Linked DNA regions of Arabidopsis thaliana. The protein of the gene in region 3 interacts with the protein of the main gene of each other region in a pairwise test. Each region holds a gene or a part of one and is shown on either strand. Other genes may lie near its edges. The genes, in order: AT2G22180, AT3G10260 and ERG28.

The links.
Region 1: the proteins of ERG28 (region 3) and AT2G22180 interact in a protein complementation assay, tested with the Arabidopsis thaliana proteins (one large-scale study listed by BioGRID).
Region 2: the proteins of ERG28 (region 3) and AT3G10260 interact in a two-hybrid assay, tested with the Arabidopsis thaliana proteins (one large-scale study listed by BioGRID).

The regions. Positions count from the first base shown.
Region 1 is NC_003071.7:9,421,912-9,433,028, forward strand, and holds AT2G22180 (hydroxyproline-rich glycoprotein family protein), read left to right. Parts: upstream 1-6,831; 5' UTR 6,832-7,057; coding exon 7,058-7,933; 3' UTR 7,934-8,230; downstream 8,231-11,117. Other genes in the region: AT2G22155 (ECA1 gametogenesis family protein), read left to right, coding at 1,958-2,263; AT2G22160 (Cysteine proteinases superfamily protein), read right to left, coding at 3,232-3,549; PLAT2 (Lipase/lipooxygenase, PLAT/LH2 family protein), read right to left, coding at 5,099-5,575, 5,757-5,831.
Region 2 is NC_003074.8:3,167,911-3,179,027, reverse strand, and holds AT3G10260 (Reticulon family protein), read left to right. Parts: upstream 1-6,035; 5' UTR 6,036-6,459; coding exon 6,460-6,700; intron 6,701-6,774; coding exon 6,775-6,955; intron 6,956-7,039; coding exon 7,040-7,181; intron 7,182-7,283; coding exon 7,284-7,353; intron 7,354-7,445; coding exon 7,446-7,615; 3' UTR 7,616-7,806; downstream 7,807-11,117. Other genes in the region: GYRB1 (DNA gyrase subunit B), read left to right, coding at 121-201, 288-401, 760-816, 973-1,074, 1,406-1,556, 1,649-1,725, 1,864-1,974, 2,315-2,385 and 11 more; AT3G10250 (histidine-tRNA ligase), read left to right, coding at 8,610-8,657, 8,773-8,878, 9,229-9,411, 9,691-10,176, 10,346-10,432, 10,593-10,657.
Region 3 is NC_003070.9:3,271,753-3,282,869, forward strand, and holds ERG28 (ergosterol biosynthesis protein), read left to right. Parts: upstream 1-2,000; 5' UTR 2,001-2,219; coding exon 2,220-2,334; intron 2,335-3,501; coding exon 3,502-3,708; intron 3,709-3,811; coding exon 3,812-3,879; 3' UTR 3,880-4,201; downstream 4,202-11,117. Other genes in the region: AT1G10040 (alpha/beta-Hydrolases superfamily protein), read right to left, coding at 4,356-4,427, 4,510-4,607, 4,685-4,814, 4,905-4,957, 5,100-5,155, 5,249-5,409, 5,580-5,834, 6,013-6,083 and 2 more; AT1G10050 (glycosyl hydrolase family 10 protein / carbohydrate-binding domain-containing protein), read left to right, coding at 7,323-7,404, 7,504-7,855, 7,938-8,097, 8,534-8,880, 8,963-9,122, 9,219-9,565, 9,688-9,865, 9,949-10,494 and 1 more.

The DNA.
Region 1 (11,117 bases), on a different chromosome or scaffold from region 3:
AAATAGGGAGAGCACACTGACCTAGCTTCTCCACGTGGTTGGATCGGATTTGGTCAAGAACTCTTAGCTTGGCTCGAACATAAGCCTTTTCATTAGACTCGCTCAACAAATAGACTGACGATGAATTGCCCTTTACAAAACCATCTCCATTTGGATATACCTTCAATACCCTATATCATTAACATTACTTATTAACACATTGACGTAAAGATACCGTAGTGTTTGTGTATATATCTATATGTTATGGAGAGAAGAGAGAGATTCACCAGCTACTTCCTCCAGAAGAAAAAAGGGCGGATGTGTAAGAGTCACTATAGAGAGTTGAAAATCTGTTGAGTTTCCATGTGTAAATGGGATCTTTGATGTTTTCTTCAAAGGAGAAAACTTCCCATTCATTCAAGGTTTGAGCAACGAAGATGTCAATTCCAAACACACACTGTTCTCCATCGAAAATGTATCCGGTTGTCAGCGTTGAGAACACCGATGTGGGTTGAAATTACGGCACTCCGTATTCAGGTTTGAATAAATGAAACCTCCTTGCCTCAGTTTGTACAACAACATTCATTTATAATAGATGTTCAGTTAAGTACTGGACCCAAAAGATAGTTACCATGCATGATACTTTATTTTTTCTGATTGATCAGAACGTTTGGTTAATAGTAAATGTGACATAGCATATCATTATTGTCCAAACATAGCAATAAACTGGAAATGAAGATCTTTTTTTTTTTGACAGCCTCGAAATGAAAATCTGCTAGCACTGAAACAACACTTTTCTAACCGGGTGGGGGGCAATAGGTTACATTACATACCTTGGTAGGTATAGTATTTGTCGTAGATTCTGTTGTAGACGAAGAACTTGACCTCTGCGTACACATCCTTTGGATTGGAGATGAGAGTTGAGTTATCGATTCTTGCGTAAAGCGAAACGTATCCAGTAGCGCCATCTTGTTTGTTTGCCTGGCTGCTCTATTCCGACCATTTATATGTGAATTTTTGTTATTTTTTGCCTAAGTGATTGAATAAAGCAACAATTATATATATATATATATATATATAAAAGATTTTCTTTGATGAAGATCATGGTTTGCTTTCCTTAATTAGCCAGCAGGTTTGATCCACGTTTGCCGACTAATTTTCTTCTTCCGTGACTGACATCTAACATCTATGGTGGATCCTCCTTGTTTAGTTGTAATTCGAGATGGGTTTTGTTTGTATAGATCCAACACGTCGTCAATATAGAAAATTACACCTGAAGAAACATTAAACTTAAATATCAAAGAGTATTTTTTTGTAACATAACAACTAGTTTTAAGTTCTCATTACGTATATAACTAAAAGATGTGCATGGAACAAATAAGATTTAAATGTAAATTTTTTTGCAGTCTAAACTTAAATTTAACAATTCTTATGTTGATCATCTTCAAATTAAAATGTTTTTCTTGTTTTGAAGTTCTGAAAAATTGATTAATTATTAACATTTTATGAAAAATAGTTGATGAGGTGATATTGTATATCTAGGATTATATATAAATAAATCTAGTCATCATTAGTAATTCTCTAATTTATTTGGCACAAAATTTACAAAAACGTTCAGGTGGCACTCTCTAGTTGGCGAAATGCTTAATTACTTTGGTAATATATATATGATACGTAAATGTATTTTGTAGTGAGTGTATTATATGTCCACGTACACAAAATTAAGTGACATTGTTGAAAAGGCTATCTTTTATAAAGGAAATGATCATGAATTTGAATGGCATATATACCAAGATATATGGAACTCTATTATCATATCTGCTAGGTGAAATGAGCAAACGAAAATCTACCAATTTGAATAAACTCATATCTCTAGTCATTCTACCAAAACAAAGTATAAAAAGCTCCACCATCATTAACATATTACAAAAAAAAAACTAAACAATTTTTTGGGTTTTTTAATTTAATTATAGAAAAAATGGAATCTAAGACGATGAAGATTATAATTTTTCTTATGGTTTTTGTTTTTGCAATGACTTGGTCTCCTTCGAGTGCTCAACCAACGGATCCGGAGGGGTGTTTTAAGGCGTTTAAAAGCACATCAAGAGGATGTCTCGAAAGCATAAAAGGAATTTTACATGGACATGTCCATGGGATCAAGAAAGAATGTTGTGAAACCGTTAGTATAGTTTCTGATATGTGTTGGCCAATAATTTTCCCAAGCATGCCTTACATTCGTTTTGTATTAAAGGGTATTTGTACTATTAAATACTCTTTGCATTGAGGCATTTGAGGATTCGTTATGTTTAATAAGTGAGAATAAAAGACCATCTATGATAATAAAATATGAACAATTCTTACATTCACCTCTTCTCTAATAACCAATTAAAAGTTGACATGTCATCTATTTAAAATAACAAATAAAATAAATCATTAATAATTCAAAACTGAATTAATTGTAAAGCCCACTAAGTCTCTTCCTAAATCCAAACTAACGAAAATAAAACTAAACCCTAATTCTCACTTTATAAGGCATTAACTCTAACCTTATTTATAGTTTTTCTCTATTCTTCTTCCCACACATACAAAAAAGATTAGTTTTATCGGAGGAAGGATATCATTATCATTGTTTCCACACAATTTGAATATAAGTCAAAATACTTATTTATATGTGCATCAAAATTTCTTAGTTTTTTTTTTTATTTTGGTGATTTTGTTGTACTAAAGTTCAAATAATGGCATCTGTGGAAAGAAAATACTAAGGATAAATAAGGTAAATATTAATTTAATTAATTTATTTAAATTCTAAAAAGGAAAATACATTATTAATTAAGAAAATGACCAATCAAAATAAACATATAAGATTTTGATATCTAACTTAGCATATTAATTTATTATTAATCATATATTTTTCTTTTCATCTTTACATGATTCTATTTTTGTGAAACAAATAAATCTTCATATAAAGAAAAGCTAGATTTTTTTCTGCATATGTCATTATTTGAATTTTGAAAAACGAATCGAAATTGTTCAATCTATGATAGAAAACTTGTAATGGGTCAAAAATTCAGACTTGAGTAATATATTTGTTTTAAACAAAAATAAATTTAACAAAAACTCCGACTGAGTAACGAGTTATAATTTGAATATTTTATATACTGCAATAAACTTTTTAATAATTTACTTTAGAACATTTAAAGATAGTCTTACTTTACTTGATATTTTTAAATAATATCATTATTAAAACGTTTCTTAGGACTTCTTACTACACGTTGGTCCTTGATCTTTGACATTGGTGACGGCTCCTTTCTCTCTCCAATCCAAGGAATCTGGTGCTTGAGTCATATTCTCGTAGAAGAACGGTTTGGAGTCGAGTATTTTCTTGTGATCACTCATATCAAAACATGTGTGAGCGTTGACAAACTCGACGTCGGTCAAGTTTGCAAACTTGTTGAGCTTGAGCTTGTACGGTTTTCTCTCCTTGTTGGTTTTGACAATATATTCTGCATTTTTTTTAAATACATCGAAACTACTTTCTGTTTGGTGGATGGGCACAAGATAGTGGCCCATCCACCTCTTGTACAACTTTTCCAGACCCTCATCACTTTTTAGCTTTGTCTCATTGTATTTGTTCCATGAGCTTTTAGCTCTAGAATGAGAAGAGTAAACATAAGAATAATTAAGATATGCTTAGTCATTTTGTTTGATTTCTTCTTTTTGATTGTTTTTAGTGCGAGAGTTAAGTAGACAAACGAACACATTCATATATACTTGGTGGATCAAACTTTTTTCTTAATTGCACTGAATGTGTGCATGTGATCGTTAACACAAAAATAGACAATTATATAGTTAATGCTTTAACCTTAAATTAGTTTTTGTCTCAACGAAATTATTAGCCTATCATCTTTTTACGTACCAGTTAAGTCCAAAGAGGTATGAGAAATGAGATGAACATGCGATCATTAACTGTTTCGATGTATTTGAAGATTTTTATGATGAAACAATGTTTTCTCGTCTTTGAAAGCAATATCTTCAAAGTCTTACGCGGCAATTCAAATAAGTCTGTTATTACTTTGTTGCATCGAATCATGTGATCGTTAGTTTAAAGGATTATCACTAGGTTCACTACTTTATCATTTTCTTCATTGTAGTTTATATGACATTTAATTTTCTGTCAATTAATATGATTGAATAAAACCATTTTAATCTGTTTCTTCTAATTTTTATGAGAATCATAAATTCTTTCTTTTTAGACAGTTACTATTATTAAGAAAGAAAAAAACATGTTCTAGGGGGATGGAGATTAGACATAAATATTTTGACCTTAACGAAGTCTTTGTAAATAAATATTATACAATCAGTAATTATCTTTTAAAGGCATATTGTCTATTTATTTTATGTCTAGCTTGTATATTGCTTTGTGGTTCTATAGATTATGTGTGCAGGGATGATCTTTTTCAATTTTCATTGAGGAACTTATTGCTCACACCTTCTTTTATAGATTTAAAAGACGATTAGGAGCATAGTGAGATTTATATGGTGCCTTAGGAGGAATTTTAAAGTCATTCATTTGATAATGGTTTTCAGTTATTAGTATGACCCAAAGAAATGTTCCGTTTCAACCAAATGTCACTTAATTAGGAGGTTTAGGCCAATACCAATTAATGTCGTTGATGTTTCTTACAAAATTGTAAGTTTCTTGTTGACTTTTTGAACATGCACAAAAATGATTAAAATTGTGAAGATCCACTCTGTATTAAATGTTTAAAATTACATCGAAAAATGTGAAAAGGGCCCATCTTTTATACTATTTGGCAAAGTTTTGATTAATCATAAGGTTGTAGCTTTGAACGTTTATTTGTGAAAATAAAACGAAACAAAGAAACTATATCAACCAGTAATTATCTTTTTTTCTTTTTAATATGATCAGTAATTATCTTTTAATTTCATCACACGAAAAACTTAATAATGTTTGATAAAAATCTCACAAACAACAAAGAACGGAACTTTTATTCGATCGAATCATTTTCATTATTGCCATCACACGTTCACAAGACAACAAAGAACAACTCTCCAAGTTACACACACACATACACATTTGACATTTCATTCACTACTCTCACACGATCCAAGAGAGAGTCTTCCGGATCTCAGACCCGACCCGACCGACACTTTCCCTAAGCGAAACTGGACAGTTATTCCGAACAGCACTGAGCTCATACGGCGATGTATCGGACGCAAGCCATTGCTCAACATCAAAGCTTTGGTACGAGCACTTTGCATGAACTCCGGCTGTCGTGACTTCCACGTAGTTAACATACCAACCGTGGTGGTCACCGGAGCCGTCAGAGGTCAGATTTAATGAACAGACTGGGCTCGGAAGACATGGTGCTTTCCCACTGAAAATGTCGAGATTACCCCTCTCGTAGTAGTTGTAACCTGGTCCCATTAAACCACCCCATGCTTCTAGGTTTCGGATCCCGATGTAGTCTCCGTATTTGTCGTAGACTCTAGCGCTTATGATCGAATCTGTACCGGCTTTGAAGGTTGATCCGGTTCTAAGGAAGAATGTGTAGACACAATCTGCTTCATCGTCCTGTGAAATCAAGAAAGTCATTTTTTTAAATGGGAAGAAACAGAAGTTTGTAGTCTAATAGTTTAAACTAATGTCATTGATGTTGTGTCATTATATACATATTCAAATCTGGTTAATGTGTGTGTCTAGTTCTAGACAAAATCATATATGAGAGGAAGCAAGTCAGATTTGGAAAACTTACGGCTAATGCGACAGCGGAGACGGTGGCGATGACGAGGAGGAGTGAGAGGAAGAGGACGTCACGGCGAGGCATCATCGGTGATATGGATGTATAAGAAAGAGAGATCTAGTCTATGGAAATATTAATAGAAATGTTGAAAATGCTAAAGTATATGAGAGTTTAGATTTCAATGATTTAATTATCGTCTGTTTTGGGAGTTGCGTATGAAGATGACGTGGTCGTTTTTGGTCCGTTGGAATGAGTAAGAAATAAGAATAAAAATACTTAAGGATCCTATAAGCACGTCGTTAACTCGGCGGACAGGTCGGCATGGGTTGTCAGATTTCGAAAAAAATTGCATATTTTTTTTTGTCACAAACGCAAATCTTCGTGAGATACAATACAAATGCACTTCATTTTTCGCCAATTAGAATGTAATGTAACAGTTTCCAGTGTAATGCTCGCAACATAACATGTTTCACGTGGATTGGGGCCGGGGAAGAATTAGAGAAACATTAATTTTTGTTTTTGCTTTTTGAAAGAAAACTTTCGACCATATGAAGGTAAGATTTCCTTTAATTTCCTTGATATTTTCATGTACATATGTTTGATTTATAAATGAAAATTAAGTGATTGTGTGTTTTTCAAAGAAAGAAAAATGAAATAAATTTTGGATAGTATTGTCAGCGAAGCAGCAACAAGGCCCACAAACATAATTTTGAATGGCCGGTTGCTGCGGATTAATGTGTGTAAATACATACATTCCGTTCATGTCAATCCCAACGTATATTCGTATATATGCATTTTTCGCTTTCTAAAGAAACAGAAGTTGCAAGAGAATTGAAATAAAAAACACTTTAATGAAAATTTGGTCCAGAAATACCACCCAAAAATGGTTTTAGTTCGAAACGTACAAAATAAAATAAGACTCGTTCATGATAAACATTACCAATATGTGCTAACCTTTTTAAGATTTTACTCATGTATGTCTTATATGCATATATAATTTATGTTAGAAAATCGATATCTTGTAAACAAAAAGTAACAACTTCGTTGATCATCATCAAATGCCATAATACTATATTATATGAGTTCTGTAATATAGTTTTCTAAATAACAGAAAAAGGGAAATTTAAGGTGAGCTGGCTAACTCTAAATAGCAAAATCTTCTCAAAACCAACCAAAAGTTTGAGTCATGCAACAACAACCACTTACTTTTCCCATGCAAACCCTAATTTTCGCATCCTCTCTTAATTCTCTCTCTTTCGTCTTCTCTGTAGACCAATCTCCACCACACATCTCGTAACTCCCACCTTTCTCCGATGGAGGGGCCACGGCGTCCTCCTTCCGCCACCGCCCCTGACTCTGACGATGACAAACCCGATGATCCTCCGTCCGTTTGGCACCGTCCAACCTCTAGCCTCCCCGCATTGCCATCTTTAGATCCTCCATCGCACGGTTCACACCATTGGCGTAATCATTCTCTTAATCTGTCTCCACTCCCAACGACATCTTCTCCGCCTCTTCCTCCTCCGGATTCAATCCCTGAGTTAGAGACGTACGTTGTCCAAGTCCCGAGAGATCAAGTCTATTGGACCCCTCCTCCGGAACATGCAAAATACGTCGAGAAACGCAGCAAGAACCCGGAGAAAAACAAAAAGAAAGGGTGTTCTAAACGTCTTTTGTGGTTCTTCATTATCTTGGTCATTTTCGGATTCTTACTCGGTGCAATCATTCTCATCCTCCATTTCGCTTTCAACCCCACTCTTCCTGTTTTCGCGGTCGAGAGATTGACCGTAAATCCTAGTAATTTTGAGGTCACATTAAGAGCCGAGAATCCAACGTCTAACATGGGAGTACGCTACATGATGGAAAAGAACGGGGTCGTTTCCTTAACGTACAAGAATAAGAGCCTGGGGAGCGGGAAATTTCCGGGGTTGTCCCAGGCCGCATCTGGATCCGACAAGGTCAATGTGAAGCTTAATGGGTCGACCAAGAACGCAGTTGTACAACCTCGTGGATCGAAGCAACCGGTTGTTCTGATGCTGAATATGGAGCTGAAGGCTGAGTATGAAGCAGGGCCGGTCAAACGGAACAAGGAAGTGGTGGTGACTTGTGATGTTAAGGTTAAGGGACTATTAGATGCGAAGAAGGTTGAGATTGTGTCGGAGAATTGTGAGAGTGAGTTCAAGAACTGACACTCGCTCTATATATATTTTATATATAACATGATTGTGTCGTTAGAGTTAACAATGTGCTTAATTAATTCATACTTTCTATGTAATGTTCAATTGTTCATTTTTTTTCCCTAATGTCTTTGTTTTTACTCTATATTGTTGAGCGACAAAAGAAAACGTGAACAAGAAGAACACAATAGAGTGAGCGTCTTTTTTTTTTTTTAAATGTACCTTTGCTTTTACAAATAAATTTAGTTTAGCCCAGATTACAAATAAACAGACTAGTCAGAACTTCTTAAAAACAGAAGATATAATTGGGCCTAAATGCAAAAGTAACATTTCACCTCCTAAGATTTTTCCTAGACCAAGTGTGTACAAGCAATACTCCGAAAACTTGATGGGATCATTCCCTCTTTTTTTTTTCTTTTTTTTTTTATCATTCTCTTTTTGATAAGATCATTCTCATTTCTCAGTGTTGTTAGTTTTATTATAGAAATGTAACTTACATTTTGGGAATAAGTGCCGTCTGTACATTTCTATTAGTTTAACTTTCTCTTTTTCTGTTGGAATGTAAAATTTAGCTTCAACAAAGATATTTATATTTTAATTAATAGAGAATTTCAAAAGTTTGAAAGAAAAGATAGACTTTTAAAAGAATGAAGATTGAAAAGAAACAAATAGACTTTTAGAAGAATGGAAGTTGAAAAGAAACAATCTTGATCAGTACTTCTTCCTTCGAGCCAACATCTAATGAGGTCGTGAAGACAAGTCATATTAAAATATAGGTGCGAGGAGACCCGATCTGTTATTTTGTCGATCACTAGAGCTGACGGTTTACTGTTTCGTACGGTAAAAATTGAATATAGTCATTACACTATCGCTCACAACAAACATAAGAGATAGAAGCTGAGAATTTTGATAGTGCCATTGACGAGGTGGGGTTGCATATGCATCCAATCAGGAGTGAGATGCGAGCTTAGTAGAGGACCACCAACTTAAGGCCACGTTTTGAAGGAGAAAGGACTCATAAAAATATATGATCTTTGGCTTCGTCGAATTCGCCATAGTCCATAGAGGTACTTGTCTGCGAATGCAACTACCCGTTTAGAGGCGAATGTGTTAATAAACGGAAATGCTTTGCGAGAATCTGGCCTCACCATCTTATTGTTCAATAAGTGGAATGTATTAATAAGAAAATACAAATTATGAAAGTTTATACAAAAATATTTTTATATTTCACCGCAGATTTCAAAATGCAATGTTCTTTTTTTTTTGTGCGCTAGTTATTTTAAATATACTTGATTATTTTAAAAAATCGAATATACATAAAGAATCATTTATTCTATACCCCTACCATCTACCAAGAAAAGGTTGAGTGGTCATTTTCGCGAAACCACAGTGGAGAAACAATAATTGTGTATAAAGATATTCCACTAGAAAGTGAAACAAATAGGTCCAATTATTTATTAAGGGCACCTTTGGACCATTTTCACAGTCCTAATTATGACAACAATATTGTTATCTTCTAGCAAGAATATAAAAAGACAAATTTTATAGTTTATTATAAAATGAATTCTTCATTTCGGGTAAAGGTTGGATATATAAAATTGTATAGAAACCAGTAATAATAGTTAGGATATCAAAGAACTATTTGATGTATGATGTTTTGCAAGACACTATATTCATTTATTCTATTTTTTTTTGTGAGCGTACCAAACAAATCAAATTAAATACTATTTTATGTATGATGTTTTGCAAGAGACTATATCATTCTAAACTAACTAGCTAATATTGAATTTCACACATTTTGGGATGAGCGCAGTATCCAACTCTATTTAATGCTTTAAAATTTAAACATTTGCAATCTTGATGTAAAATACAAACATTCTTTTATCATATAATTCCACATGGTCGGTTGGTTGGAACGCACGCCTAGGCCTCACTCTTATTTGTGTTTCTCTCTTTTCCTTCACACCACTACATTCGAAAGTTCCGATACAAAAGAAAATTTCCTTTTTTGTTACTTTAAATTTTGGTGTCTAAAAAAGTTGACTATCCAATCAAAAGACATTTAGAGTTTGCCAAAAGATTTTTGTTTTTAGTCCACCTTTTAGACATGTCACAGAAAATTATTATTCAAGTGAAGGGATTGGTGATCAATGTTTTTGCTCCCTATAATTTGGGCATCTAAGTCACATGCATCCCCATGTTACCAAGTAGTTTGGAACATCTCACAGATCAACATATACATTCATTTACTGAGTCAATACATTTAAAATTACATATAGTTTTAGGCTTTCTATGGCACTAGATAATTGAGTCAAATCAAGTTTTGTTAGAACCGTCTGATTTACTTGAATCTTCTCTCTCTATATATATAAACAAATATAGAAAAATAAAGAACGGAAGAGACATTAGACCATCCTTATTGCAAGTCTCTTACTATAAATCTTAGGTATAATATATAATCAAAATAATATGTGAATAGTTTAGAAAAAGTCCTTAGCTAAGAGATAAAAGAAGGTTTAAGAACTTCAAACCATTACAAAAACTCTTAGCTATAATTTTTTCAATAATACAATTCATAAAATAGTTAAGAGATAAAATTAAGAGTCTACCATTAAGGTTGCTCTTAGGTGATTGGTTTCTCATTGAATACATTAAGGATCCTTCCATTTGATGTTATTGACAAGTTCACCATGGCCAAGCAGAACAAAGAGAACAACAGCACTCAAGTTACATTGTTAATTATTGATGTCAGTGAATGGAGACGATGGTGATAGCAAGACCTACGAGGCATATGTGTACCAGCCGCCCTGGCGTGATACTCCCTTGGTTCTTAACTATTTTGAATTTGCCAATTAGTCAATGTTGGCTCTCCCAATTCCCTTAATCAATTGTACAAAAATACATTATTTCTCAATTCATTTTTAAGTGATTATTTATTTTTAAATATTTTAGCGGATATAGGATGATGAACACACACTTTATATTAATTAAGTAATATATATTTGGTTTTTCTAAATTAAAATCATAGTATATGCAGAAAAAGTTATTAAGTTTTTGTATGCAGTAACATCGCATTTTAAGGTATATTTTTAAATCTTTATTAAAATCTTTCAAAATTAATAAGAATCAAATCCACAAATTGTTTTCAATAAGAGTACATTTTAAAGTAGATTTTTAAATTATTAGTTCGATAACA
Region 2 (11,117 bases), on a different chromosome or scaffold from region 3:
GTTTGTGTACTCGATCATTGGAACGATGTTTTCTTCTATAGTTATTGAAAATTCCTACTATGAATCTCTTAGTTTCACTTTTTTGGGTTATTGTATCTTAAATTCTCTATGGTGTATTAGGTGTTGGAAGGCTTAGACCCTGTCAGGAAAAGACCTGGGATGTATATTGGTAGCACTGGATCTCGTGGTTTGCACCATCTGGTAAATGCCTTTTTCTTTTGACGTTCTTGGTCGTGACTGGCTCCTATCAACTGGTTATATCCTTCCCAATACATGTTGTTTCTTAGGTTTATGAGATCCTTGACAACGCAATTGACGAGGCCCAAGCTGGTTTTGCTTCAAAGATCGACGTTGTTTTACATTCAGATGATTCAGTCAGCATTTCAGACAATGGACGTGGGGTATGTGATTTGTTCCACTTACTCATCTTCGCGTATATTTGTAACTGAAAACATGGATATTGTTTTCTTATGCCGAGATGCAAGAGAAAGGTTAAGTGGCACCCAATGGCATTCTGTACTCTGTAGTTATGTGTAGGAGCCAATTTTGGTATTCCTAGCTGATTTTTCTCAAAGCTTCCGGTTTTATATCTAATGTGCACCAAGAGTAAACAATATATGTCAATCATGCTCTATCTTATTCATTTACGTTTTTTTTATTTATTTTGTATATAGCTTTCTTTCATCCCAGAAGTAAAATTTGTTGCTAATATCAAAATGCATTTGGTCACTTTTATTCATACAAGCTTTCTGTCTGCAGATACCCACAGATTTGCATCCTGCAACGGGAAAATCGTCTTTGGAAACTGTCCTTACGGTACTGCCACTTGACAAACATCTATTAGTACACCTTATACTTATATATTGTGTAGAAAGCTATCTATGTTTGTCTCAATGTTGATTCACACGTATTTTTGTTTTTGTTATCCTAACATTTGGTCCTGCAATTAATCAGTGCTTTTTATTTGTGCAGGTCTTACATGCAGGTGGTAAGTTTGGTGGCAAGAGTAGTGGGTACAGCGTGTCTGGTGGATTGCATGGCGTAGGTTTATCGGTTGTGAATGCATTGTCAGAGGTGTGTTGTAACCGTTAGTACATTGTTGCCTTTTCTGCTAAATTGAAAATATCCTCTGTCACATGTTTGTAATGATAATTAGATCCTGCGCATTTGATCGTATAGGAAGGGTTTGCTATGTTATTGCAAATTCTTTATTTTGTGTGAAAGTTAATCTAATGTCCAAACCTGATATCATATGAGAAAGATCCTGGAATGGTTCTGTACTGAGTGCTGGGGCTATCAATTTCAGATACTTTCAACTATAAGAAACTGTTATATTTGGCAAGACATCAGGAGTCTATTAGGATAATATGCATACAACTAATTATGGAGCTCCCATTATTCACAGGCATTGGAGGTTATAGTTCGCAGAGATGGAATGGAGTTTCAGCAGAAGTATTCTCGTGGAAAGCCCGTAACAACACTTACATGTCATGTCCTACCACCAGAGTCAAGGGGGACTCAAGGGACATGCATCCGGTTCTGGCCTGACAAAGAAGGTTTTGCCTGTTTTCCGTACTTATCTATTGTACCCTCCCAAAGATAGGATTTGATGACTAACTTATCTTTTCTGAAACAAACTGGTAATCAGTATTCACAACTGCAATTCAATTCGACCATAACACTATTGCTGGACGGATCAGGGAGCTTGCTTTTCTCAATCCAAAGGTATAGGCAGCCGTGATATTTGATTTGTGTGCTTCACGGAGCATTCTTAACCTGCTCGTTTTAGTGAGTTCTTATTTAGCAGAAGCTAGTGTTCGACTGTTTCCTTTGTCATAATCAAGAGGTTCATATTGAATGCAGGTTACAATCTCTCTAAAAAAGGAGGATGATGATCCAGAAAGGGACGTGTATAGTGAATATTTTTATGCTGGAGGGTTAACTGAATATGTTAGCTGGCTAAATACTGATAAGGTGAGGCATGTACTGTGGGTCCCTTGTTATAGTTGTATAAAATCTCAATATTTGCCAATCGGTGATGCTAGACTTAAAATAGTGGCAATTAAATTGGAATGGGTTTTGTGAAACAAAATGCAATGGGGATGGTACTAATACTTTTCCTTCTCAGCTTACTTGATGGTAAGATGTGTTGTCTGTTCATTATTCTTTAGGGCTCTATTTAGCATGAGCATGGAACCTTTGTAAACTTAATCTCTATTATGTTAGCTCTTATGCATTTAGGTCTCTGGTGTTATAGGTCATCCTTATTACTTTTCCCTTCCGAAAATATGAATTTACAATTCGTTTTGTTCAGAAACCGCTTCATGATGTGCTGGGTTTCCGGAAAGAGATAAATGGCTCCACCGTTGACGTTTCACTTCAGTGGTATTTTACTCTTCCTTCTACATACGTCGTCTAATATCTGCTCATGTGATGAACAGATTATAATCTGGGTTGCATTTAGCGTAAAACCACATACTTGAACATTTTGGCTGACTGATTTTATGGTTTACTTTATCTAAACTGGATGGAAATATGTTGTACCGTATGCGGAGTTGATGACTGTATATACAGTTCTTCTAGACGAATATGTGTATATCATGGTAGCTATCCAAAATTTATATGGATCTAAGTATATAATCTCGTTATTGTACCAGGTGCTCAGATGCCTATTCAGACACGATGCTGGGATACGCGAATAGTATTCGGACCATAGATGGTGGGACACATATAGAAGGTGTGAAGGCTTCATTAACAAGAACTCTAAATTCCCTTGCAAAAAAGTTAAAGGTTATCAAGGTGGGATACAACTTACCAACTGCGTTTTTTCCACTTTATATTTCCACTCTTAGAGGCTTAGAGCCTTTTTCCCCTTCTCTTTTCCTCCTTTTTCATGGAAACTGCAAATGCCTAATTGCGGTTAGTTGGTCATTATTGTGGTTGAAAGAGTCTTCTGAGATAATGTAGGTCAAGGGTTATATTATCTATTCCTCTCCATGGATTGAGACTAAATTTAAATACTCATCTGCACTTAAAAGACATGCTTTACGGACAATTAATAATGTACTACCATGATTGAACTGTGAAACATGCCAGTTATAGAGGTTGTTTTTTGCTTACATTTAAGCATTTATCTTGACCTGTTCTGAAAAGGTTGCTAACTCATAGTGTAACTTATTGTTGTTGGTTATGTTTTCAGGAAAAGGATATTAGCTTAAGTGGGGAACATGTTAGGGAAGGATTGACCTGCATTGTCTCAGTCAAGGTTCCGAACCCTGAGTTTGAAGGTCAAACAAAGGTACTAGGGAGCATAATGATATGTTGACCCTCATTTTTGTCAACAATCTCTGGTCAGCAGGCCATAAGTTTTCTTGGATTCTGTTGATCATTTTAATTTTTTTGTGTCCCAAAGACAAGACTAGGAAATCCAGAGGTGAGAAAAATTGTTGACCAATCAGTCCAGGAGTACCTCACGGAGTACTTGGAATTGCATCCGGATGTACTTGAAAGCATTATTTCCAAATCCTTGAATGCGTACAAGGTGCGACATTGAAATACCTGCTCATACTGTCACATCTTCACCTACACACACATGCACTCAAACACTCAAACATGTGTTTTATCCCTTGAGAAGCATTTTCTGATATCTGTGATTAGCGTATTCTTTGATTGAGTATGTGTCTCCTACAGTATGTCTAGTTACTAACTTCAACCAAATGACCATGGATTTTCCTTGCTGACTCTTTCTTTTTAGGCTGCTCTGGCTGCCAAGAGGGCTAGGGAGTTGGTAAGATCAAAAAGCGTTTTGAAGTCATCCTCACTTCCTGGGAAACTTGCAGATTGCTCATCTACAGATCCTGCAGAATCTGGTATGCATTAACCAATATGAAAGTGCCTTGTAAGCTGTGAAAGTTAGTCAGTTTATTGACATCTATCTCCTATGCTACCAGAGATTTTCATTGTCGAAGGAGATTCGGCTGGTGGCAGCGCGAAACAGGGTCGTGACAGGCGTTTCCAGGTAAAAAAAATCATTCTGCTCAGCGTGTCACTAACAGGCTCTGCTTCTATTTTGTTAGTCTGTAACACTGTATTTCGATCTATGCAGGCAATTCTTCCTTTGAGAGGCAAAATTTTGAATATTGAGAGAAAGGATGAAGCAGCAATGTATAAGAACGAAGAAATTCAAAATCTTATTCTTGGCCTTGGTCTTGGAGTTAAGGTAATATATCCTTTTTCATATCCTGCTGTTTGTTGGTATGTTCGGAAAACTCAGTTTGACATAAAACTTATTTCAGGGAGAAGATTTTAACAAGGAGAATCTGCGTTACCATAAAATTATCATCTTAACAGATGCAGATGTTGATGGTGCACATATCCGGACACTTCTGTTGACCTTTTTCTTCAGATATCAGGTACTAGTTTAGTTTGATAAAACATTAGTTGAAGTAGCCTTGATTGCTGATTGAGTTATGTGAAATTTAATGAAATTTACTTTCTACAGAGAGCCTTGTTTGACGCGGGTTGCATATACGTTGGTGTTCCACCTCTTTTCAAGGTAAGCTCTTAGTATCTATAATCTTATGCTTCAGATTGAACGGAATTTTTTTCTAAAGCTAGTCTCTCTGTGAAAACGATCAGGTTGAGAGGGGGAAACAGGCGCACTACTGCTACGATGATGCAGCTCTTAAAAAAATCACTGCTTCGTTCCCTGGAAACGCATCCTACAACATTCAGAGGTTCAAAGGTAAAACATCCTACTTCTCACATCATGAATGTGTTCTTTTGGAAAGGATAAATAACTATGAAAAGTAATGTATAGTAGTTGTTATGTGTTAGCTATTAAGATACTCTTGAGTGTGTGCATAACGAAATCTAGATTAGTCTCAACTATTGGATTCTATGTAATGTTTCTTGCTTTTGCATCTGCAGGTTTGGGTGAGATGATGCCTGCGCAGCTATGGGAAACAACGATGAATCCAGATACAAGGATATTGAAGCAACTAGTTGTTGACGACGCAGCAGAAACGAATATGGTCTTCTCATCTCTGATGGGTGCTCGGGTAAGCCAATGAATTGCCAGACTCGGACTCATGATAATAGTCAATAAACTGGCATAACTCATCGTGACAATGTTATGTTCTGTGTATGTTTCAGGTCGATGTCAGGAAGGAACTCATCAAAAGTGCTGCGACTAGGATGAATCTGGAGAATCTCGACATATAACACAGCTTATAGTTATTGCTTCAGCTATATACAAACAACAAAGAAACGACTCTGGTGAAATGCAAAGGGAGACATCATCATTTCAAGGTTAAATCATATAGTCACAGGCCAACAGGATTTTGTTCTTCTTCTGGCCTATAAAGGACAAAATTCATTGTTAGGATTATCTCTTTCAATGTCAAAATTTAGCAATTCACAAGGCTCTTTGTTGGGCGTTTCTTTCCATTGGAACTAGAATTTTTCTAGAGACAAGAGAAATTTGCATTCACTAGGTATTTACTATATATTATGACTTCAACAATTTGGCATTCCTGAAAATCATGCATGCGACGAAGTTAAAACTAATGATTAGAAGGAAGATGAGAAGGTAACTATTGTGCAATGAATATCTTCTCTGCCTGTTGTATTGATTTTAATTGTATTCGAGGTTAAGTTTTGACTGATGTTTTACTAGCGATCGCAGAGTGATCGATAATTAACAAGTTTATTTTTCGATTTGGTAGGTATATAGTGAATTAAACATGATTTTTGTTCTTCCTGAACAACCTAAAGCAGTGTTATGAACGCATCACGCATGTAACAACCAGTCAACCATATTAGTGTGACTTTAATTCATTGAATAAATGAAATTTTTTTATTTTCAACAAGGCTTGTAACGGTTGATAAATCTACTCAGAAAACTTCTTTTTGTTTGTCTTGCAAATACAAACGATACGTTTCAACTCTTTTTTTGGCGTCCAATAATACTTCTTAAAAAATAATTTGTTTATTGTCATGAGCTACACGTGGGAAGACAAGTCCTATCCATTATTACTACACACTACTCCAACATTTGCCCACATTTTGAAAAAAACATTTTTTTGTAATTCAATTATTCGACACAACCAATCCCATCTCTTGTTTCACTTCCGCCCTCCATCTTTCTTCGTGATTGAGAGAATCTTCAACGAAAGAAAGCAACTTTTTTTGGGTGAAATTCACAGAACAACCAAGGTTTTTCTTCTTCTTCTTCTTCTCCAGTTCCTACAGGTTTACTCTTACTCATCTTCATCTTTGTCTCGTTCTTGCTCTTCAATTTCTGGTCTTTTTGTTGTTCTTGTCTTCTCGCCAAATATACTAAGATCTAAGTTTTATATCATTGTAATTATCACCAACGAACTGTTAAGACCAAATTTGATTACTCGAAATGGTTTTGGGTTTAGGGTATGAAGAACTGATCAAAAGATTCAATTTTTTATGAAGTCAACTTTCATCTGCAAATTGAGCAATCTCAGATTTCGATTGTGTTTCAGAATCATGCCTGACAAGAACATCGTAGAGGACGTTATCGGTGATTTGGTGGATAACTTCACGGAGACTGTTCAGAAGAACAAACATGGTTCCTCCTTCTTCGAACAAGAAGATTCCGTCAGTTCTCGTTTCAACCGTTTGTTTGATCGCCAGAAGCCAATTCATCATGTCTTAGGCGGTGGCAAATGTAAGAATTCGTATACAGGAACATAAATATGAGATTGGTTTTTCTTGTAATTGAGTATTGAGAGATTCCTTCAGCTGCTGATGTGTTGTTATGGAGGAACAAGAAGATCTCTGCAAGTGTTTTGATGGGAGCTACCGCAATTTGGGTGCTTTTTGAATGGATCAATTTCCATTTCCTGTCTCTCGTTTGCTATGCCCTCTTGCTTGGTATGATTGCACAATTCGTTTGGTCTAACGCCTCTGGATTCTTAAACCGGTAACTTGTTGGAGTGTTGTTGTCATTATTATTGGTACCTTGTGATTGCAATCTAACACAATGTCCTTTAATGTCTCAAAGCAGCTCACAGTCTAGAGTGCCTCGCCTAGTTCTTCCAAAGGATTTCTTTGCTGAAGTCGGTGTGGCCGTTGGAAAAGAAGTTAACCGCGGTTTGTTGTTTCTTCAGGACTTGGCTTGTAAAGGGAATTTGAAACAGTTCCTCATGGTGCGTTGTTTGTTTCAATAACCACAATCTTGTTTGTATAATGTATTAGCACTTTCATTACTATGCTAAGATAGAAACTTTGATCACAATATCATTTTTCAGGCTGTAATCGGACTATGGGTAGCTGCAATGGTCGGGAGCTGTTGCAATTTCCTAACTGTTTTGTATATCGGTGAGTGGTTCTTATTAGTGTATCCTCTTTTGAGATTGGAAGTTGAGTAATACAAGACTTTAAAGGGATGCATTTTATGTGTGTGTGTGAAGGGTTTGTTGGGGCACACACAATGCCGGTTCTGTATGAGAGATACGAAGACGAAGTGGATGGTTTTATGGATTCTATGATCATGAAGTTTCATAGTCATTACAAGAAGCTTGATACTGGGTTTCTCAGTAGAATCCCAAGTGGAAAGTTTGGATTAAAGAAGCGTGAGTGACTAAATCACTCAAGCATTTTCTTATTTTACCTTGTTTGTTGTTAGAACAATATGGATTATGGTTTGCTAAATGAATGTTTTGAGAATATTATTCATTCATGTAGATTTTGTGTATTTCCTTACTAAACAATACCTTGTCCATGTATTTGTCAATACCTTGGTTAATAAGAGAATCATCATATCTGTCAAAATTATACAAGTAGATTGAGAGTTCATTAACTCAATGTCTAAAAATGTAAGACTTAAAACAAGTTTGAATCAAAATTATTTCACAAATCAAAAGTATGGTTTTCTTATTTCGTAAGAATCGTTGACTAATATTGACCGGCTGGCTAATAAGAAGATCAGATAACTCTACAGGTATGGGATCCACCATTGTCAAACATTTTACACGTGTCAGCTTCCTGAGCTTCGAAGCCTGAATGTTAAAATTAAAAAATTTAAAAGAAAGAAATATAAAAAGAAGTAAATCAAAGAAAATGGAGTAAAGAAATTGATCCACGATCGATCAACAAAGTGAGGTTAGGTTCCATCTCCACCTCTTTCTCTCTCGAATCTTCTCCGATTAAAGGTGCTCTTTTGCTTATGAAATTTGTGTTTCTTAAGCTAATCGAATTTGTTTTCTTGATCGTTTTGATGTTCTTTTTTTTTTTTGTTATTGTTGTTGATTTGATGTGATCCGGTTGTATTTGAAGACGAAATCGATTCGAAGTGTTGAGGTTTAGTTTGGGGTAAAATAGATGATTCTCAATCTGTTCTTATTTGTGAATTATTTTGTATTTCTGATTCTCTGTTTTTTTCTGTTTTTTTTTGTTTTTTTTTGGATTTGAAACCTAGAGAAAGAACCTTGTTTCATTAGTGGGAGATAAAAACCTCTAATGATTTGATATAAATTTTTGAACTTGTACAGATTCGAATCGATTTCCCTTGTACCCTCTCTTAATACTGGTTCTTGCCTGACAGGAACAAGGTCTGGTTTACAAAAGTCTCATAGATGTCGAGTGGAACAGTGAGAAGGGTTTCACGTCAAGATATACAACTGGTAATAACAACAAAAATAGATCATGATGAAGGAAGGCCTTTGGTTTCATTGTCTGAATCTGCGACAATTTGAATTCGTCCTCTTCCAACTCAATAAAACTTACTTTTGGTTTCAGGTTCAAAACCTTATAGAACGATGCCTTCAACTTTACATGAATCAGAAAGAAGTTGTGGATACTTTACTAGAGCAGGCTAAAATCGAGCCTGGGTTCACAGAACTAGGTAGCCACTCAAATACTCTGTTTTCTTTTCATAGAAATTAGCATCTGATTCTGTAATCCTTGTTCATTGATGAATCTGGATTCATTACTGTGAATGAAAAGGTATTAATATATCTATTACCAGTTCAGGACATCTGTAGCCAAAATCATGTGTGAATGATTTTGTTGTTGCTTAAAACTGAAATCTTATGTATTGTTTGGTTCAAGTGTCACCAAGAAGGTCTTATTGGTCAGAACCTAGTTAGGAAGTGCTCAATAGATCATGAAATATGAGAGAATATGTATAGTAGTGAGTATCGATGATAAAAAATGGGGATTTATGATAACACGCTTTCTTTTTATGTTTAAAAGTTTGGCAGAAGCTTGAAGAAGAGAATCGGGAGTTTTTCAAAGCTTACTATCTTAGGCTAATGGTTAAACACCAGATAATGGAATTCAACAAGTTGCTTGAGCAGCAGGTTCACCACATGCGTCAGATGCATCCAACTGGTGTTGCTTCTGTCCAAAACACAAATGGTTCTCATCTTCAATCAAGTAAGATTCGTTTGGAGTGAGATGGATTTTAATTTCTGCATTTTAGGGTCTCTTTATTGCTTGTATACTTTTGCTATGAATTGTTGTTCAAGTGTTGTAGTAAACAGTCCTCATATGCATTGTCTTGTTTTCTGGCTTCCACTTTTGCTGCCTTAGTTCTTTTCAAGGTTTCTTTTTCCTGTGAACATTATGTGTTTGTTGTTTTCCTTAGATTAGTCATTCATTCAAGTCGCTAACTGATGAGTATTAAATAGCTAATCTATGTGATTTTCTTAACAGTGAATCAGAAACAATTATGCTATCCCTCTGAGCACACTGACCAATCTTTGAAGTCTGAAAGTGCACATCATCCAATGGCTTCTAGTCTGTCTAATGCATTCCTCAATGGCTCTTCCACACTCAATACAAACGTGCCCTCTTCTATAAACATATCAACCCATGCTAGGAGAGTTGATGCTTCTCCAAATATGCTCTCATCGCAGACCACAAACATGCCTATGATGCAAGGAATGAATGGAGGAATGATCAAGTCTGAGACTGCCTTTACAAACCCTGCTTCATTCATGTATGGTGGCGAACGGAATGCCCTCGAAGGACATTCGGCAGTTGGGGATACTTCGATTCCTAATTTCAGTAACGAGTCCAACAACCAACCCCTCAGTGATCCGCTTCTTGAAGCAGAAGCTTCTACTTTTGGGTTCTTAGGTCAAATTCCTCGTAACTTTAGCCTCTCTGATTTGACTGCTGATTTTTCTCAGAGCTCAGGTCTTTCTCCATCTCAATATCTCATATACTCCTTTCTCTCTCGTTGTTCTGACGTCTTAGCATGCGTATAACACCAAGTAGTTATTAGTGGTTTTCTAGTACAAGAGCCAGTAAACAGCTAATAGGATAAATTATTTGTCGTAACCATAAGTTTCCTGGTTGATTTCAGAGATTCTGGAGAGCTACGATAGATCACCCTTCCTTGTGCCGAATGCTGAAAACTTCCTGGACTCCCGTGACAGAGGAGAATATCAAGGTGAGAGAGCTCTAGGAATCTTTCTTACTTTCTGTAATATATCGCAAGTAATCGGGTTTCAAATTCTTCAAGACACAATAGACTAGCTCGCTGGTTTAGAGAAAGTAGAAGTATTGAGGCAACAGACAGAAGTGATAATGGTAAGTGTGTGTTTTTGCAGGAGACAACAAGAGATTGGATACCATATCTGAAGGTTTCAGTTACGATAACATCGGGAGCGAGTAGTTGGGTATTAGGTAAGAATATATATACTCATCTGCCTCAAATCTCAGGTTGCACTTTTTTTTTGAATTTGCATTTCCAACATCATCATTTTTTGGTTTCTGGAAACTATGCAGGTTTTGCTTTATCACTAATAACATAGGACACGTTTGTGTACAAAAGATTCAGCATTTGATGGTTTTCCTTTGCAAAGACTACTTGGTGGGGTGTATAAAAAGGGCTTTCTATTAACATTGTTACTTAAGCTTGAAGTTAGTAATAAGTTTAAGAAGAAGATCATGTAATTTTCAGTGTGTGATTTTGTCTCTTTTCTCTTGTGTTTTAGTTATCTTTTTTACTTGTTACAATTGTTACTCTTTTTTTTTCCGGATATAAGTGGTTTGGATAGTGCCGAAGGCTAAGGATAGAGTCAAAGTAAGGAATCGAAAAGAAACCAGAAACTTGCATATAAAGCAAGTGTCAT
Region 3 (11,117 bases):
TAGGGTTTTTCAGAGAGAGACGGAGGAAGAGAAAGAGAAGGAAATGTGAACAAAAAGGGTTTAGGAAGAGTTCGACATTAATGGCAGGAACCGTTCAAGAGACGATGACTTAGGGGAATTAGGCAAAGGAAAAGGAGGTGACGACGATAAAACGCAGCGTTTTAATGGCGCCGTATTCACGACCTAACCATTGGAGGAAGCAGTCGTCTTCTTGGTCTTTCTGTGTATGTCTCTGGTTTTTAAGTGGAGACAAACAAGCAAGCACAATTTACATTTTTCCCATTTTTGCATTCCCTCCTTTCGTTTGCTGTATTTTCCTAAATTGTCCAATTCGCCTTTATTATACCACAACTTTAATATTGGTACCAAACCTTTTTAATTTTGTTCTTTAATCCCCTTTTTCATTAATATAGACGGTTAAGCTACATCCACCGATGAAAAAATCATTTGAATAATTTTTAATTACATTCTATAACTATAAGTCATGTTGTAAAGAGTTTGTTATTAGAGCATGAATATTCCATTATTCTCTCATAAAAAAAGAATTAAATGAGAAAATTTGTCCCTAATTCTTTTTTATTTCAAGTAGCCCCCTAAATTGTGGCTAAACATCCGGTAATCGTAACAATGATGTAGATTGGGTAACTCTCTGCTCGAATGTGACGCTTATTTTGGCAAATAATGTTTCTTTGGTAAACATTTGAAAGTTTTTAAACAATTTGTTTTGAGTATTTAAAATACGTACGGATAAAGGGTAAATCCGAAATTTAGAGTTAGTTGAGGGCTGGTAGAGAAAATTAAAAGACATTGGAGCACAGCTGGGAACAGGCTGGCGAAGAAGTGCCAGGTCGGAGAGAGGTTGACGTAATTTTCTTTTGTTTGGTTTCTCTCTCTACCTGATAAGTGACCAACCACACAAAAACATAGGGCTCCACTTCTTTGAAGTTTACGAAATTACCCTTGATGCTTACGTGTACATTCGAGGCTCTGATTAGTGCCTTGATCGGGGAGAATCTTTCCGCCTCTATGCGGAACTCACGTTTTCGTGTCAGTCTCATAGTTTTCTGGTTTTTCCTTAACACACATTTTATTCAGATTAAGAGATTTCTTTTTTCTTCTGTTAAATTTATTTTATTTTTAGTTCCGTTTCATAATTGGCGTAGCTAGTTTCCAATGTATTTGCTAACAGTGATGAAAGATGAACACTACGAAACATTTAAATTTTCTTCATGTGCATGAGTTTTGGAATGATAAACTTCCTAACATTATTTACACCATAGTGAAGTGTTCTTGGTTATTTTCCACAAAGTATTCTTGAATTGTCTTTGGTTATTAATAGCCATCGGTCTAACTTTTCTACATTCACCTAGAAACAAAAGTTTGATCAAATAAGGAAACAAACACTTTTTAGAGCCACAAAACTTTTCTACATTTGTGTACAGTATGAAATTAGTAAGGTGTTTTAAAGTTTCGAGGAACCGTCATTTAAAAATGACATCAAATAGTCACCTTTTCTTCTACTGCAAAGGTAAACTCACCACTCTATTCGCTCTGAGAATGCAGCTTCTGTATTATATAGAATACAAAATTTCTAAATTAAGAAATTAAATAATGCGTGCGAGTCAATAAAATAAAAATAAAGTAGAATTCTTTGGGGATTGGGCGAGAGATATGCGTGCACGTTTACGACAACTTAGATTCAATTTCTTTTTTATATAGTAGTAGTATTTGTTTAGATAAGTAGCTGAACGAGGATCGTGGATGATAGCTGTATTTTTTCTGCTTTTTTTGTTTTTTAATGACATTCATTTATAGAGGATGAAGGAAATGTCTTCTTCTTGCCTCAGCAACACAAAATTACGTAAACCATATTTTTGTTTTTACAGTAGTAACTGTAGAGAAGTCCATCAGAATATTACAGAAGCCCAATTGAAAAGCCCATTTGAAACCCACTGAATTAAATAATAATCGAATTCGGCGGAGACTCCAACTATTGTCGGCCCATCAAACAGTTTCTCCGGTGGTTTGAGAACTAACTGAAATGTACGAAATTAACCTCCGTGGCTTACGTGTTCTGATCGGGGAATCTTTCCGCCGAATCTGAGTTTACGTTTTTTTTTGGTGTCAGTCTCATAGTTTTCTGGTTTTAAAACGGAAAATATATGCGTTAGGGTATTGTTGGATAACGAGGAAGGAGTAAACGAAGGAAGAAGAGGGAGATGAAGGCGTTGGGGTATTGGTTAATGGTGGTTGGTTCACTGAGACTAGCTTCTGTTTGGTTTGGTTTCTTCAACATTTGGGCTCTTCGTCTCGCTGTCTTCTCTCAGACCACCAGTTCAGTTCTCCCTTTTTAATCTCTATTTTAAATTGTTCTTGATTTGATAGTGTGTTAGCTCCAACGATTTAAATGGGTGATGTTCACATAGAAACTATAGATAACTTCAGATTTTCTTCTATCAATTGACTTCCTTGGTCTCTGAGCTAGTATCTGTGAGTTAGTATCTATGGAGGGCACGTGAATTGGTTGTTTCAATGAGAAATGATAATGTCAGGTTCAGAGGAACCATTCTTGTGGAAATTTAACAATTTGTGTCTGTGATTTGAGTCTTCCAATAAGGATCGAATTTGGGATCCCTAAGCTTTGAGATCTAGAAAGATAGTGAGGAATTAGAATATTGTTTTGTTTTCCTGGATTTGATCTTGATTCTTGCTAGTAGTAGTAGTACATTGCATATGGAAAGTCAATGGTTTATGAATCTTGTAGTCAACTTTGAGGTTTTAAGAAGGAAAGCCGGATTAGGATTCGTTGAACATATTCATGATGCTCTTTCTACTTGCTCTTATGTGTTCTTTTAATTGTCAAGTTGAGGTAGTTGGGATTGAAAGCAACACTCATGAATTAGTACACCATAAGTATAGCAAACTGAAGCAACGTATCCAAGAAAGATATAGGCAAATCTTGTATGTTGTACAGTTCCTTGGTGAAGTAACTTTTTTAATAAGTGGACGGCCATGTCCTAGATATCAGGAAAGGGAAGAGTATTTGGATCGAGAATTGGGTGGGAATGATAAGAGTTTACATACTCCAATGCATAACCTTTTTTTGTGGGATCTTTGTAAAGTTTTTTCTTAAAGTACTGTTGAAGTAAATTAGTGATCAGGTGAAGTGAATAAGATTTTGTATATGTATTAAAACATAAGCAACTTGAAGTTTCTTTTTTCCTTTCTGTAACTTGTGGTGCATGGAACATTGTTTTTTTTCTTCCTGTGATTGCAAAAGGTCTTGTACATGTTTTGTTCATCAGTTCTGATAACACAAGGACTAATAACTTTGCATCATCTAAGCTACATGAGAACCGGGAACACAAAAGATTTATCTAGACAAAACTAGTTCACATAGTTGATGTCTCTATTACTTAGGTTATCTCAGGCAATGGGGCCTTCTCGGTTCACAAGAGTCCTGTACTCATTACTTGAATCTTTTTATTACCTGTTTTGCAGTGAGTGAAGTTCATGGACGTACATTCGGAGTATGGACACTCTTGACCTGCACTCTCTGCTTTCTTTGTGCATTCAACCTCGAAAACAAACCATTATACTTGGCTACGTTTCTATCATTTATCTATGCGTTAGGCCATTTTCTGACTGAATACCTCTTTTACCAAACAATGACCATCGCGAATCTCTCAACTGTGGGCTTCTTTGCAGGTATAATTTGAGGCATTGACCATCACTCACTCTTGTATTGAATCAGTTGATGTAGGTTGCATTCATATTGTGAATGATCTATATAATGTGTTCTCTATAACAGGTACATCGATTGTGTGGATGCTCTTGGAGTGGAATTCCCTTGAACAACCACACTCCAAACTTTCTTGATGTTAGTCCACATCTATGTTTCTAAGTCTCTCGTCTTATAAGCTTTTCTAAAAGTGGGAATCATCTGAGTTTTTGCTCGATCCCTAAAGCTGTTGATTCATTGTTTCATCTAAATCTTACGACATCTTTGATGGAGTCTTGAACTATGAGAATATCATAAATTCATGGATTATATGGTTTCTTTTTAAGTGTTGTTTATTGCTTTTAAAACAGAGATTTGAGTTTAGTGTATGGTTGATAGTCAACGAACAGGGAAACTATTTCTTGCGTTCCCTTTTTTATTTGTTTGTATCCAAAATGATTCTATTTTCCATTTTCCCGGTAACTGAGAACAGCTAACAAAACAGATAAACCTACTAATAGTGTATAGTAACATTACTAGATGACAGAATTGTGATAATATGACTAATGTATTTCCCCTAGTGAATTTAACTTGTGAAGGAGCTTGCCATCTTCCGTTATCTCACAAGTCACACCTATGGCTCAAAATTGTCAATCATGTGTTGTATAACATCTGCTCCAGCTGAATTGATCATCTTTGTTTTCACCTGTAATGTTTTCCAAATGTGAGTATGAAGTTTAATAACAGTAGCAATGGTGATGATGATGGCGACAATGATGAACACTTGCCTGAATGGTATTGTGAGCGAGAAATCTTTGCAGCGTTCCTCTGAAACTAACATCAACTCGTTCCCAGCTCAGTTTTGTTAATTCTCTTATCATCTCCTCTGCATAAGTTTGTTGTATTATGATGACTAGAAATCAAGAATAAGAAACACGAGAATGAGTTTTCCACTGAACCAACCTTCCATATCTAAGTTCTTGAACCTGTCTGCTTTGGTCCTTGAATGATCTTCCTCATAGTTACTTGCAGTATCCGGTGCTTCAACATTCACAATGTGAGGATACTTCTCATTGACTGGACCACGTTGAAGCTGCGAAGGTTATATCATTATATGTGAGACTTGATTCAGCATAACATACACAGCATTATCTTATTAAACACTGAAAGTGAAAGGTTTAACCTTAGGAAGCTCATTGTGACGCCGGATAGACGATGTACTCCACCCAACAAGGTCTAAGAACAAAGGAGGTCAAGGTTTCAAATGAATTGTAATAGCCACAACAGTTCTGAGTCTTTTTTTTAAGCTCAATTCACATTGTCCGATCAGTGAAGAAGTAGAGAATTAGTTTAAAGACGTCCAACAAAGAAAGGATACGGTCGAAACTTGTATTCGCGTAAGCAATACGCCGTTTGAAGCATTGCAAAGCAGAACTGTTCACAAAAGCAGAGGAGACATTAGAAATCATTTGAACTACGCAAAAGCCTCAATCAGCTATATATAGAAAAATCATTGAAGGAACTCACATGAATTTAAGATCTCTAGAATCTTTAACCATCCGGAGGAGTAATGGAGGCTTTCCACCATCACTATCAGCCAGAAAAAGATGTTTTCCCGTTTTACCAAGACAACCCGACATACGCGTAGCTAATCTCTCCAAAGTGTAAGATCCAGAAAACAATGGGACCTAATGCAGTCAAAATGCCACACCATTAACCAAATTGTAACTTTTCATGTTGCAAAATTCCACAAACTGTATCAACTATCAAGCTTACAGGAGAATGAGGCATAAAAGGATCTCAACTTTGCTGTAAACATATTGACAGCTTCAATGTAAGAAAACCGTTTTCAAATCACCTGTTTATGTCCTCTTGAACCAAGGTGTGGTGTTGCAGAAGTTATAAAATACACAGGCTCTAATCCAGCGATTCTTGCTTTCGGTTCCTCTATCGAGCATTTATCACCAATGTCGTCACTATTATGTGGAAGCTCTTCTCGGGATTCTTGCTCATAAAGACGCCCAATAGCATACCTAGCAATCAGGCCACCTAAAGAATGTCCTACAAAGGAAATCTTCTGAAGACTTGGGTGACGTTTGATCACCGACCTAACCTAAACAAAAGAGATTAAGAATATCACTTGAGCTGGAAAACTCAAGCAGAGACAAAGATAGAAACTTCTACATAAAAGGTTCTAGCATTGCGAAAACATCTAGCCAAGCGGAAGACAATATAACATTAGATAGAAACAACGCTGAAATATAAGCAGCCTAAAGATAAGAAACACAAACCTCTTCAGCTAATCTTTCTCCCATAACATCAACACCATCAAATGTCTGTGTGGAATGGTTGCGTTTACTGCCTGCAAAATGATTATAAAGTATCACAAGCCATTATTTAAAAACTATTATAAAAATCCAGTAAAGTGAGATCAAAATATCTAAAGTGTGATTCTTTCTTCCTTCCAATAATCAATCTGTTTCACTTGAGACTTCCAATCACAAATTTACTATAGACCATTAGGAGGAAACTCTGTTTTAATTGAAAAAATATAGAGAAAGAAGAACTCACAGTGAACGAGGAGATCCTGAGGATACTTCTTAAGCATCTGCTTAGCGGCGAATCTCCAATTCTGAGCACTGTACCCACACACAAAATTTAAAATCAGCTTAAAATAGAACAAAATCAAGCACATAACATAGGAAACACTAAGAACCTGCCGATGAGACCGTTGACCATGACGACTAGGTGAGTCGGCTCAGTGCGTTCGCCAGGGAAATCAACAGTCAAATCGACGTTTCCACTTTCGTCTGATTCAGCTCTGAGACAACCCATCCAATACTTTTTCTTCTTCTTCTTCGTCTCTTTATCATCACTCTTCCTGCTTCTCATCTTCTTCATCTTCTTTGGCTTACGGATTCCTTCAAGATCACTTCCAACACGCCCATCTCCTTCTGTATTCTTAGGAATCACGCTATCTTCTTCCTCCATGATCACGAAACGAAGAATGAAAAATGGAAACTTTATGCAGGTGTTAATTCAAGGTCGCCACTTTGGGAAGATTCGAAGGTCTCGCGTAGGTTTTTATAGACTTCAAACATCAAAAGTTCAAATGGTCAGAGAGAAACAGAGAATAGTTTCAGTCGTTAGGGAAAGTCCCCACAGAAGTATTTGTTGTCGTCGTTGAAACGCCATTGACATTTTCTTTCTTACACATCTGAGATTTGGACACTGTTGCTTTTTCTAGAACACAACACATGTTATATAAAGTCATTAACTTGATTAAATGAGCCAAAAATGTGATTTGGCATAAGTTAAAAAGCATATTCAGACATGATGATGATAATTAAGATTATTTTTATATAATAACTTTAAAAGACAGGCCCGGCCCATTTAATGTCAAAGATTGGATCCAAGTTTTGCCCAGAGAAAAGGAAGCTTCATGAATCATGAGTTTGTTTCTTCTTCTGGAAGAGTCAAACAACAATTTTGACTTTTTTATCAGCAACCACAACGTCGAAAGCACGACATGAATCATTAAAAAAAAAAAAAAAAACCGACGAGATTTTTGTACCTTTCTTCTCCGAAGTGTTGCTGATTGATGTCTGTTGGATTTCTCTTTCTTCAACTAATCACCTTTCTGTGTCCTCTCGCTTCTCTCTTCTCTTCTTTCCCATTCAAAGGTGAGATTTTTAATTTGACTTTTTTTTTTTGGGTTGACCCATTTCGAATTTTTATCATCTACTGGTTAATGTTGTTGATTTGATTATATCCGAATTTAGTACAGGCTAAGCTCATGGCGGATCTTAACATTGTAATGAACGGTGACTTCTTTGCTGGGATTGAACCTTGGTATCCCAACGGATGTGAAGCTTTTGTAGTTTCCTCTGACCCATTTAGCTCAGAGGTAATGTCTGCTGATTCCTCGAGCGGTGGTTATGTCGTTGTAACTAATAGGAAAGAAACTTGGCAAGGACTTGAACAAGATATTACAACCAGGGTTGCTTCTGGAATGAACTATACTGTATCAACTTGTGTTGGTGTGTCTGGTCCTTTCAATGAATCAGCTGAGGTTCTTTCTACTGTGAGGCTTGAGCATGAAGACTCTCCTACCGAGTATTTGTGTATCGGAAAGTATGTTTTTTTTTATGGTTATATCTTTGAAATTTGATTGAGCTTTTGTAGAGATTTCTGATGAAGTGGAACTTATCTGCAGAACATATGCCTCGAGAGACAAGTGGGTTGATCTGGAAGGAACGTTTTCGATATCAAATATGCCTGATCGTGTTGTTCTCTATCTGGAAGGTCCCGCTCCAGGGAAAGATCTCCTTATACGCTCTGTTACCGTTAGATCCTCCACTTCTAGTGACTTCCAGGTGAACCTCATGTCTTTCTTGACCAGCCATAGTCATATGTTACTTAACTATTTGGGGATCATAGTTTTGCATTTGAATATGAATAAGTAAAGAATATGGGTATAGAGAAAGGTGATTATTAGAGAAGATAAAAGATATGTTATTGGAGACTGAGATAGATGTAACTATCATGTGTCCAAGTTTAACATTATTGTTAATTCTGGTTGTCTGATCATGAAATTATATTTCAGTTGTTTGAAATAGAGAGAAGTAAAGCTATATGAAAGAAGTTCAGCTACATGAAAGAAGTCTAGCTTGTTTCGTTGCACGTTAGTTGAGGCACTATATAGCTCACCGGGTTCATCTAATTCTTTACAGTATAATCCAGATTACAAGAAACCAGCAAGCTAATTACTTGTATTCTAACATCGTTTTGTGGCTTACTATTTCACTGCAGGAAACCGAAAAAAACACTGACGCTTCCAATGTCTTCCCTCTTGCTTTGAATATCATTAAGAACCATGACTTCTCTGATGGGTTGTATTCTTGGAATACCAACGGTTGTGATTCATTTGTTGTTAGTAGCAACGACTGTAATTTGGAATCAAATGCGGTTGTTAATAACCGAAGTGAAACCTGGCAAGGACTGGAGCAAGATATCACAGACAACGTTTCTCCTGGTTTTTCATATAAAGTCTCTGCTAGTGTTAGTGTATCAGGACCTGTTTTAGGGTCGGCGCAGGTCTTGGCCACTTTGAAGTTAGAGCACAAAAGCTCAGCAACGGAATTTCAACTAATTGGAAAGTAATGGAACCACATGACTTCTTTGTGATATATAGTCAAGAAGACCCAGAAATGTTGACATTGATAATGTTTTTATCTGCAGAACTTATGCTTCGAAAGATATTTGGAAAACTCTGGAAGGCACTTTTGAAGTGTCAGGAAGACCTGACCGTGTTGTATTCTTCTTGGAAGGGCCACCTCCTGGAATTGACCTTCTTGTAAAGTCCGTCACCATCCATTGCGAAAGCGATAATCAGTTTGAGGTAACTGTGATTAGATAGATAGACTGAAAGTACATTGACATGATCAATCTATGATCTAAATCTTAGCTTTGATTTAATGTTCTGCCTTATATGCAGAGAAGCCGAGAATTCTGTTCAGCTCCTGAATCTGATAATCACATCTTCCTGAATTCAAGCTTTTCCGATGGCCTCAATCATTGGTCTGGAAGAGGATGCAATCTTATGTTACATGAGTCTCTAGCTGATGGGAAGATACTACCGGATTCTGGAACCTGTTTTGCTTCTGCATCAGAGCGCACACATAAGTGGAGCGGAATCGAGCAGGATATAACAGAAAGAGTCCAGCGAAAACTCATTTATGAAGCATCTTCTGTTGTTCGACTATCACATAGCCATCACACCGTGCAGGCCACTTTGTATGTTCAATACCTTGACCAACGCGAAGAGTATATAGGCATTTCCAGGTTAGGCTCTCCATATGACGATTTTTTCTTTTTCTTCCCACATGTTACTGTAAATGTGAATCTTGGCCCAAATATATTGTCTGATACAAAGAATTTGAAGAAAGTTTGTTCCCTTTTCCAAGTGTTCAGGGAACACACGACGATTGGGTAGAGTTAAAAGGAAAGTTCCTCTTGAATGGATCTCCAGCTAGAGCAGTTGTTTACATTGAAGGACCACCACCAGGGATTGATGTTTTTGTCGACCATTTTGCTGTAAAGCCTGCAGAGAAAGAGACTCCTTCAGGACGACCATATATTGAGGTTACATTAAAAGTTTTGTGGTTTTTAACATTTACCTTCTCTTTGTGTTTAATGTATTATATGTTGTTTCCATTTTTCTACAGAGTCATGCTTTTGGGATGAACATTGTTTCGAATAGCCACCTAAGTGATGGAACAATCGAAGGTTGGTTCCCTCTTGGAGACTGCCATTTAAAAGTTGGAGACGGCTCTCCTAGGATATTACCTCCCCTGGCGAGAGACTCACTTAGAAAAACACAAGGATATCTATCTGGAAGATATGTGCTTGCGACAAATCGAAGTGGAACATGGATGGGTCCTGCTCAGACGATAACTGATAAAGTGAAGCTGTTTGTAACATACCAGGTCTCCGCTTGGGTTAAAATTGGCTCAGGAGGACGTACCAGTCCACAGGACGTAAATATAGCACTCAGTGTTGATGGTAATTGGGTTAATGGAGGAAAAGTTGAGGTTGATGATGGTGACTGGCATGAAGTTGTGGGTTCATTTAGAATTGAGAAGGAAGCGAAAGAAGTTATGCTTCATGTCCAGGGCCCGTCTCCTGGTGTTGATCTTATGGTTGCAGGTCTCCAGATCTTCGCTGTTGATCGTAAGGCACGGTTGAGTTATCTCAGAGGACAAGCTGATGTGGTAACCTACGAAACATATTACTCATTACATGTTTGGAACGAAAATTAAACTTCACATCAAATGCTCTTTCTCTGTTATGCAGGTTCGTAAACGCAATGTTTGCCTCAAGTTCTCAGGTTTAGATCCTAGCGAATTGTCTGGTGCAACGGTGAAGATCAGACAGACACGTAACAGTTTCCCACTCGGGTCATGCATCAGTCGGAGCAATATAGATAATGAAGACTTTGTCGATTTCTTTCTTAACAATTTCGATTGGGCAGTGTTTGGTTATGAGCTGAAATGGTACTGGACAGAGCCAGAGCAAGGAAACTTCAATTACCGGGACGCAAACGAGATGATCGAATTCTGTGAGAGATACAACATAAAAACCCGAGGCCATTGCATATTCTGGGAGGTAGAGTCCGCTATTCAACCGTGGGTCCAACAGCTGACAGGTTCCAAGCTGGAAGCAGCAGTTGAGAACCGCGTAACAGATCTTCTTACCCGTTACAATGGGAAATTTAGACACTATGATGTGAACAATGAGATGCTCCACGGATCGTTCTATCGAGATCGACTAGACTCTGATGCAAGAGCAAACATGTTCAAGACTGCACACGAGTTAGACCCATTAGCAACTCTGT